Linked DNA regions of Mus musculus. The protein of the gene in region 1 interacts with the protein of each later gene in a biochemical or structural test. Links are inferred from orthologs where the notes say so. Each region holds a gene or a part of one and is shown in the gene's direction. Other genes may lie near its edges.

Region 1 (3,859 bases):
GGCAAAGAAACATTTCCCCCACTCCCAAATTGTCTTTGATCTTTCTCAATCATTTCTTTCCTTCCAGCTCTTGCCCCAGTCAACAGCTCATCTCCTTTTTGTCAGCACACCTAATTTTTCTAGGGTTTTATAGAAATGGAAGTATTCTTTTATATTCTATATTCTTTCCTGCCTGGCTCCACTTGGTCTTACTGGTTTTGCAGTGTATATTGTTGGAAAATATAACCATAGTTTGTTCTTTATTGCTGAGTATTTGTTCATTGTATGACTATACTACAACTTGTTTCTATTAACAGAAATTTATTTGTAAACTGTCAGGAGCACCTAGCCATTCATTGTTTTTGTCTGTCTGTCTTTCTGTCTGTCTGTTTTGTTTTAATATTGATTACTCACTTTGAAATGAAGACACTGAAACCTTGAGCTCTTAAATTTATATTGCTATTAAATGAGACTTTCAGTAGTCCTGCACTCTTACTGCCTGTCCTGGTCCCAGCAACTGTGCTACTGTGATACAGGTGCTGCCCTCTTAGCATTTTGAACCTCATATTTTCCCCTTGAACATGGTATGAGGGTGCGTACCTAGGTATGGAGGCAAAAGGACTGCCTCAGATGTTTGCCTCCAACATTTTCTGCCTCCCTTTTTTGAACTGGGGTTCTCATCTGCGGGCTTAGATGGCGACCAGTACCCTGCTTCTGCCTTCCTGGCACTGAGAATATTATCAGGAGCCTGACTACTACTGCACCTGGCTTCATTGCATGGGTTGGAGGGTTGAGCTCATACTTGCAAGGAAAGTACTTTACCGACTGAATCATCTCTCTCAGCCCCATTTTGACCTTTCTAGTTGTACAAGTATGTTTTCATAGACTCAAATGTTAGGCTTAAGAATGCTGATACTGGAATAAATTTCAGTGTTAGCATAACTCCTGAGACTATTTGACTGGCTTTGTGTGAGATATGTTTTTTTAAATAAGTTATCACCTGTAAGACTGGGGAATTTAGCTAATTATTTTTCATATTTAATCTTTTAATTTTAATACTAGTGTCCTTTCCAAGTAAATTTTTCATGTAATTTAATGAATTTTATGTTTTTAAAATATGGCATATATTAGTAACAATTTATTGCTATAGGCTTAAAATATTTCAAAACGCAGCAATATTTTGTTTTAGAAATGGGCTTCTTTTCAAATATCAATGCAAAGAGACTATTGTACTATATTCTGTGGCAAGTTTTTGTATTTTTTTTTCAGAACTGTAAAAATGCCCTGGTGTGCAGTTTGTTTTTAAGCTGACTTGACTTACACATAAAGTTATATCATCTGATATCTTTTTCACATTGCATCTCTAAAATGCTGGTGCAATATGTTAATAAGTTAATATGACCCTCTGCTTCAAATTTCCATGCTATTATTTAGCTGTAAAATTTATTATTTAGACAAATAATGTCATCTCCTTAAAATCAATGTCTTACCTATAAGAACAGGGATGATGGTGATTTTTGCTAGATTTAGAACGTAATTACAGACTGGGCCAAGTGTTATGTTAAATGAAGTATGCATGTTTCCCATTGTCTATAACTTGTATCCATATTTAAGATTTTTGATTTTGGTGGTCAGTTTATGATTCTGCCCTTAAGTTCCTAGTCCCTGGTATAGTCTCTCTCTGAGCATGGCTACAGTCTGTTATATACTGTTAAATAGTAACTGTACAATAATGAAAACTGTTCTTGAGATTGAACCCCATCTTAGTTTTCTGCAGACGTAGGTGCGGGTTAAGGTTATTGGATGTTGTGGGCAGAGAGAAAGACAGCAGGATTTTGGTAATAATAAAGTATTAGTATTATGTGTTCTACATTCTAAATCTGAGATTGTACTGTTCAGTCCCTGAACAGCAGCTGCTGGACATTGAAGACTGCGACCTCAATGTGGTGAGGCTGTGTTTTCAAGTTTTCCTTCCTGATGAACATGGTAACTTCACAACTGCTCTGCCTCCCATTGTTTCTAACCCAATTTATGACAACCGTAAGTGCTTTAATTTTCTTATGTCTGTACTTTTAGCTTGTTTCATTTCCTTAACTGCTGAAAAGTTTAAAGGATTTTTGCAATTTGAAAAGGAGTATGTTAGGTGGGATTGGTGGTTTGTGCATATAATTCTAGCAACCAGAAGGCTGAGGCAGGAGGATAAAGTTTGAAGGCATAATGGACTACACATTGAGACCTTGTCTCAAGAAACAAGAAGAAGCCAGGGGTGGCGGTGCATGTCTTTAATCCCAGTACTCAGAGATAGAGATAGGCAGATCCCTGTGGGTTCAAGGCCATCCTTGTCTACCCTGTGATTTCCAGGATTACATAAAAAGATCCTGTCTCAGACAAAAAACAAACAAATAAACAAAGCACTGTTCATTATAGAAAAAAAAACCCTCAAGCATATATACATATATAAGAAAGAAGAGCAAATCACCATTAGTCTCCTCCTAAATGGCCACTGTCCTCAAGCATACACTGTAGTCCCTTTGAATAAGCACAGACACCACCATCTTCCTCATCAACCCCATTCACCCACTAAGTTTGGCAACTTAAAAAAAAAGATCAATGATATTTTAAAAAAAAACAACTTTTTTTCAAGCCAGTAGTGGTAGTGCATGCCTATAATAATAGCACTTGGGAAGTCCAAGCAGGCAGATCAGGAGTTAAGTTTTCCTTTACCATGTTTAAAAATGGGAATTCAAGACCCTACTGTGTCACATGGGATCCTTCCTCAATAGATAGAGACAGAAAATCCCAGAACTTTTCTCTTTGCAATGTATCTTGAACCTTTTTCAATCACTTTTTCTTTTCTTTTTTCTTTTTAAACACTGCTGGCATTTAACCAGGACATTGTACAGAGCTATACCCCAAACCCCACTTAGGTTTCCAGTAGCTGAATATTTATCTCCTTCCTTCCTTCCTTCCTTCCTTCCTTCCTTCCTTCCTTCCTTCCTTCCTTCTTCCTTCCTTCTTCTTCCTTTCTTTGTGTTGCTTTATACTTTTTTCTTTTTCTTTTTTCTCAAGAAAGGGTTTCTCTGTGTATCAGTCCTGGTTGTCCTAAACTCACTGTAGATCAGGCTGGCCTTGAACCACAGAGATCCACCTGCCTCTACTTTTGCCTCTGCCTCCCAAGTGCTGGTATTAAAGGCCAGTGTCACCTTGTTCAGAAGCATATTTTTTTATATGTCTATATATTAATTTTAAGAAATCATTAATATGGAGTATAAAAAATAAAAAAGATGACTTTTAAGAATCATATTTAAGAATATATTTGGTTTGTTTCCTTTTGTAAGCAAATTATACCAAAGTAGATATATTTATGTGTGCATTTAAAGACAACTCTCTATGGATCATGTATCTGCCTGTTTATATGTGTGTGGTCAGAAGACAACTTACAGGACTTGGCTGTGCTCTTTCATCATGTGTTTCCCTGAGATCAAACTCAAGTTGTCAGGCTTTGCTGCCTTAACTATGTCACTGGCTCCTGAATGTTTATCTCTTATGCAAATATTTCTGACATTTATTTTTAAAAGAATAACTTTTGACAGATACCTACATCAAAGGATATAGAAGTTTATTTGAAAAGATTTTAAAACTTTCCTCCAAAATATTTTGTGTATATACACACACATTCACCAGTAGTATATGCCACACCTGATTTGCATGTAGAATACTGGACCATAGGAGTATAGAGGTAGATTATTCTTAACAGAGAGCCTTGGGTACCTTTAAGAACTATCATAATAATATTCGGAAGATAAATGAGAACTGCATTGCCCTAGGGATATAGCCAGTGATATAAAATGACTCATTTATTCACAGTGTGCCTTTACCA
Region 2 (4,335 bases), on another chromosome or scaffold:
GAATGGCTCATAATAGCTATCTCTGCTAGCTCCCCCATCCCCCAGTACCAAGGATGCAATGAAGCTGTTCCTATGGTTGGCAATGGTCTTCTAAGGGCATTGCTAGCCCCAAGAAAAGAGCAGCAAGATGCTCCATCTCAGGGATCGCCTGTGGGTGGTGTTCTCTCAAACCCTAGTCATGTTGAAGAAAAGCAAGAAGGGAGGGGAAAGACTTCAGGGCTAGGGTGGAAACTTCAGTAGTGTCAGGGGCCTCCCCACCCTGGCTCCACTGTGAGGAACTAAACTTCTTTGACTGCTGGGGGCAGCCATCTCCTGTACCTACCAAAGGCCAGTGCACACCCTGCAAGGAAGAAGAAACCCCATGACCACCAAGGCTTGTGAGATAAGTCCTCCCTAGAAAACCCACTTCCCCAGATCACATCCTCCTGCCAAGTCTATCATCAGGGGAGTTGACCCAGAACTGTCTATGAAGGTTTCCCAGGGAAAAGCTGCTCCCCTGAAGATAATAGATGCACTCTCTCTTACCAATCCCCCTGAGCACTGATTGAAAATAAGTGAAAAGGCAAGAGAAGTTGAGAAAAAAATAGGCAGAGGATAGCAAGCAGAGCCACCATCACCACCCCTTCCCCATCTGTGCTGGCTAGTCAGGCAACTTGATGGGAGCCAGCGTCATCTGAAAAGAGGGAACCTCGGTTAAAATGCCTCCATAAGATCCAGCTGTAAGCCTCTTTCTTAATTAGTGACTGATGGGGAAGGCCCACCCCATCCCATTGTGCATGATGCCATCCCTGGGCTGGTATTCCTGGGTTCTATAAGAAAGCAGGCTGAGCAAGCCATGGGGAGCAAGCCAGTGTGCAAGACGCTCCCCATGGCCTCTGCATCAGCTTCTCCCTCCAGGATCATGTCCTGTTTCAGTTTTGTCCTGACTTCCTTTGATAATGGATTATGATCTTGAAGTATAAGCCGAATAAAACCTTCTCTCCCCAATTTGCTTTTTGGTCAGGGTATTTCATTGCAGCAATAGAAACGCTAAGACACCCCACCACCACCACCAACCTACACAAACTCCCCACAAAGTAGCCGGTTTATGCAGAAAAGTTTTTTAAAAATACACTTTTTAAACAATTGAATGAATAAATGAATGAAGACACCACGGAACTAAAAAGAAGGAACAAACAAATGCACGGAATTAGTGAATGAAATAAAAGGGAAGGGGAAGAATGAGTGAATGAATGAATGGGCGAAACAATCCACGCAGGAGTGAGTCAAGACTGGTAACCAGAGACTCCCTGCCTACGCAAGCAGCAAACAGGGGGATTCCGGAGGGGCGGGGCTCTACCCGGAAGCTCCTTTGAGGGCGGGGCTGTGGGCGTGGCAGTGGCTGCGGGCCACTTCTTGGGTCCGGGGGCGGGGCGACAGAGAAGACCTAACTAGGGACCGTTCAGCTGCCCAAAGCACCCGCTGCGGTGGACCTGGCCGGCGCCCTGGACCTCTCGCTTTTCTCATCCGCTCCCCGCGCCTGCACAGGCAGGTAATGAAGCCGCTCGGAGAGTGACTCTGGTTCTGTTAGGCGGTCACACAAACCCGGAAAAGCTCGCTTTTGCACACCTCAGAGTTAGATCCCGCTGGACCCTGGACCCCGGGCTGGCGCGGCCGGCATGTCGGATGCGCGGAAGGGGCCGGACGAGGCGGATGATAGCCAGTGTGACTCTGGCATAGAGTCGCTGCGCTCTCTACGCTCCCTGCCTGAACCTACTGCGGCCCCAGGCTCCGGATCATCCCAAAGCGGCTGCCCACAGCCTTGGAGACATGCTCCGGAGACCCACAAGGAACCAGAGAAAGAAGATGCGGATGGAGAGCGAGCGGACTCCACTTATGCCTCCTCCTCTCTCACTGAATCCTTCCCCTTACTGGAGAGACCCGAAGCCAAGGATCCAAGCCCTCCCGCCCCAGGATCGCCGCTGCCCCCCGCGGGGGTGCTGAGCCCTCAGCAACTCGAGGCGCTCACATACATCTCTGAGGATGGAGACACGTGAGTAAACTGGCTAGGCTGAGATAAGATGTTCAGTTAGAGCCCCCCTCCGAGCTGCAACTGGCTGGGCTACCACCACCACTTCATCACCCGAGAGGATAGACCCTCACAGCACCTGCCCTGGAAGGGCCAGCCTCCTTCTCCAAACTCCAAACTTAACTTGCAACTTGCTTTTAAGCTGTAGCCAGGTTCAGACCAAAAACCAGACATCATCACCTCTTTTGGGAGTGGACAGGATAGCAGTGCCCTTGTAACCTAGAACACCAGCCACAGTCTTGAAAATCTACTAGTGACCCACTCCTGGGAAGAGGAATTCCCCCGCAACCAATTCAGTTTTTGTTTTTCTTGTTGGGGGAAGGAATGTCCCTGTTTGCTCAATATTTGGGATACCAATGCCTAACTTCAGAACACCCTAACCAGAGGGGGGAAAAAAGACTACACCAGGATTACAGGTTGTCATCTGAGCTCAGGAAGCCTGGATTAACGGTGCTACCTGGATGCCCATTTGAAAGTGGTTCCAAAAGAGGGACTAGACTGAGAATTTTTGCCCCCAACAAACAGGATAGGCAGCTGGCTGCCCCAGCTCACTTCCTCCTCTGCTGAGAAAAGGGAAGTAATGGCTTGGCCTCAGCCTCCCCAACAGTTACCTCCTGAGCTCCCCAAATTCTTCTTGCTGTCCCATCTCTTGATCTCCCTTTTCTCCCTTAGGTCCAGCTGGAATCAGGTGCAGCTGGACTGTGAGGCTATCAAGTGTGTAGGTGTCAAGTGCAGAAGAGGTGACTGGGCTTTGTGGGTGTTAGAGCAGGGGCAGCTGGAGTGCTAGCTAGATGAGAGAGACGCTGGGATGCAGGGGGTACCTGTCCTGACCTGCTTGTTGGAGATGTAGGGGTCTTGGTTGGGTACTAGCAAAGATAGTCTCCATCCTGTGAGCAGGAGAGAGGCCTTTTGTATTTCAGGCGCCAGTCACAACCCTTAGGCCAGGACCTCAGAGTTCTGGGAGCTCTGTGCACAGCTTCTCGGGCCACCGCGCCCTCCACGGTTAGCCCCTGTGCTGCATGCAGCCTTGACACACTCTGCTTAGAGACAGATCCAGTGTGTCTGGAGAAGCATCAGCCCCCTCCCCCCCAGCCCCCAGCAGACATCTTCCCTCCTTTGGAGGTGGCTGGACTGTGGGAAGTATGGAAGTGGGAAAAGGAAGTGGGCAGGAGGAGGGGAGACTGAGGGAGAGAGGGAGGTGGCTGCAGGAATGTGACCCAGAGAGCAGGCCCTGGCCGAGGGGATTTCCACAGTGGTTCCTCCCTCCCTCCGTCACTCTCTCCTGGCCTCCTCTACTGCCTGCCTACAGCAAAAGTTTGCCCCCCCCCTCCTGCCTAAGTATCCCCCTCCCTAGCCCAGACAGGCCTTTAGCCAAGTTGCCCCCAAGGCAGCTGTCCAGGTCTAGACCATTTAACCCTGGCTTTCATTTTCCCCACCTGATGTGGGGAAACCCCAAGACTGGAACTTCCCATCCCAACTGCCCTGTTGGCCCTAACTTACAACTCCCATCACGCCCCCCCACCCCCGCCCCATCAAACCCATTTTCTGCACTGCACCAAACTCCCCCTTGGAGCTGTACCTAGGAGAGGGTTTGTGACCAGACCCCATATGATGGCTTGTGTGGAATGGCCCGCTTGACTAGTGGGTAAGGCAGCAGTTCCAAATGCCATGCTGGCTCCTTGGAGTGTGTGACATTGAGTCGCTGGGGGAACCCCACATCGGCCTCCTCCTGTCCTCCCTGTTGTGGGGAGGTGGGTAGCTCAGCCCTGGAAACCCCCTCTGTGTTTCTCCGGCAGCTTTCGGTTTAGCTTTGAGCTGCAGCTGGCCTGGCAGGGCCCTGGGGGCAGAAGGGAGCTGGGTGTGGGCACGGTGGACAGGAAGGCCCTTGTCCTGTCAGCACCCTGCCCACAGGTTCCACCCCCAGCCAAGGCTCTCCACGGGTCCAGCCATCCGAGCTTGGAGCTCCCATCTCCAGAATCCTGGCTTCCTGTATCAACCCCTCACTTCCTGGCCCAAACTCTCACTTCCTGCACCTGCTTGGTTGTGGGTAGCTAGTTAAGAGGTCGATGCATTCATTTCTAACCCCAAGACACCAGCTTATCACCTCTGACCTGGGCTCTGACCCTAGCCCTCTCCTGCTCCAGGCTGCTCCACCTGGCAGTGATTCACGAAGCCCCGTCGGTGCTATTCTGTTGCTTGGCTTTCCTGCCCCAGGAAGTCCTGGACATTCAGAACAACCTTTACCAGGTGAGTAGAGAGAGAAGGCT

Evidence for each region.
Region 2: the proteins of Rel (region 1) and Nfkbie form a complex in vitro, tested with the Homo sapiens proteins (2 studies listed by BioGRID). The link is inferred for Mus musculus from reciprocal best matches to the Homo sapiens genes REL and NFKBIE.

The regions. Positions count from the first base shown.
Region 1 is NC_000077.6:23,746,911-23,750,769, reverse strand, and holds part of Rel (proto-oncogene c-Rel), read left to right. Parts: intron 1-1,878; coding exon 1,879-2,019; intron 2,020-3,859. UniProt on the Homo sapiens protein: Proto-oncogene that may play a role in differentiation and lymphopoiesis.
Region 2 is NC_000083.6:45,554,283-45,558,617, forward strand, and holds the start of Nfkbie (NF-kappa-B inhibitor epsilon), read left to right. Parts: upstream 1-1,417; 5' UTR 1,418-1,658; coding exon 1,659-2,032; intron 2,033-4,212; coding exon 4,213-4,315; intron 4,316-4,335. UniProt on the Homo sapiens protein: Sequesters NF-kappa-B transcription factor complexes in the cytoplasm, thereby inhibiting their activity. Sequestered complexes include NFKB1-RELA (p50-p65) and NFKB1-REL (p50-c-Rel) complexes.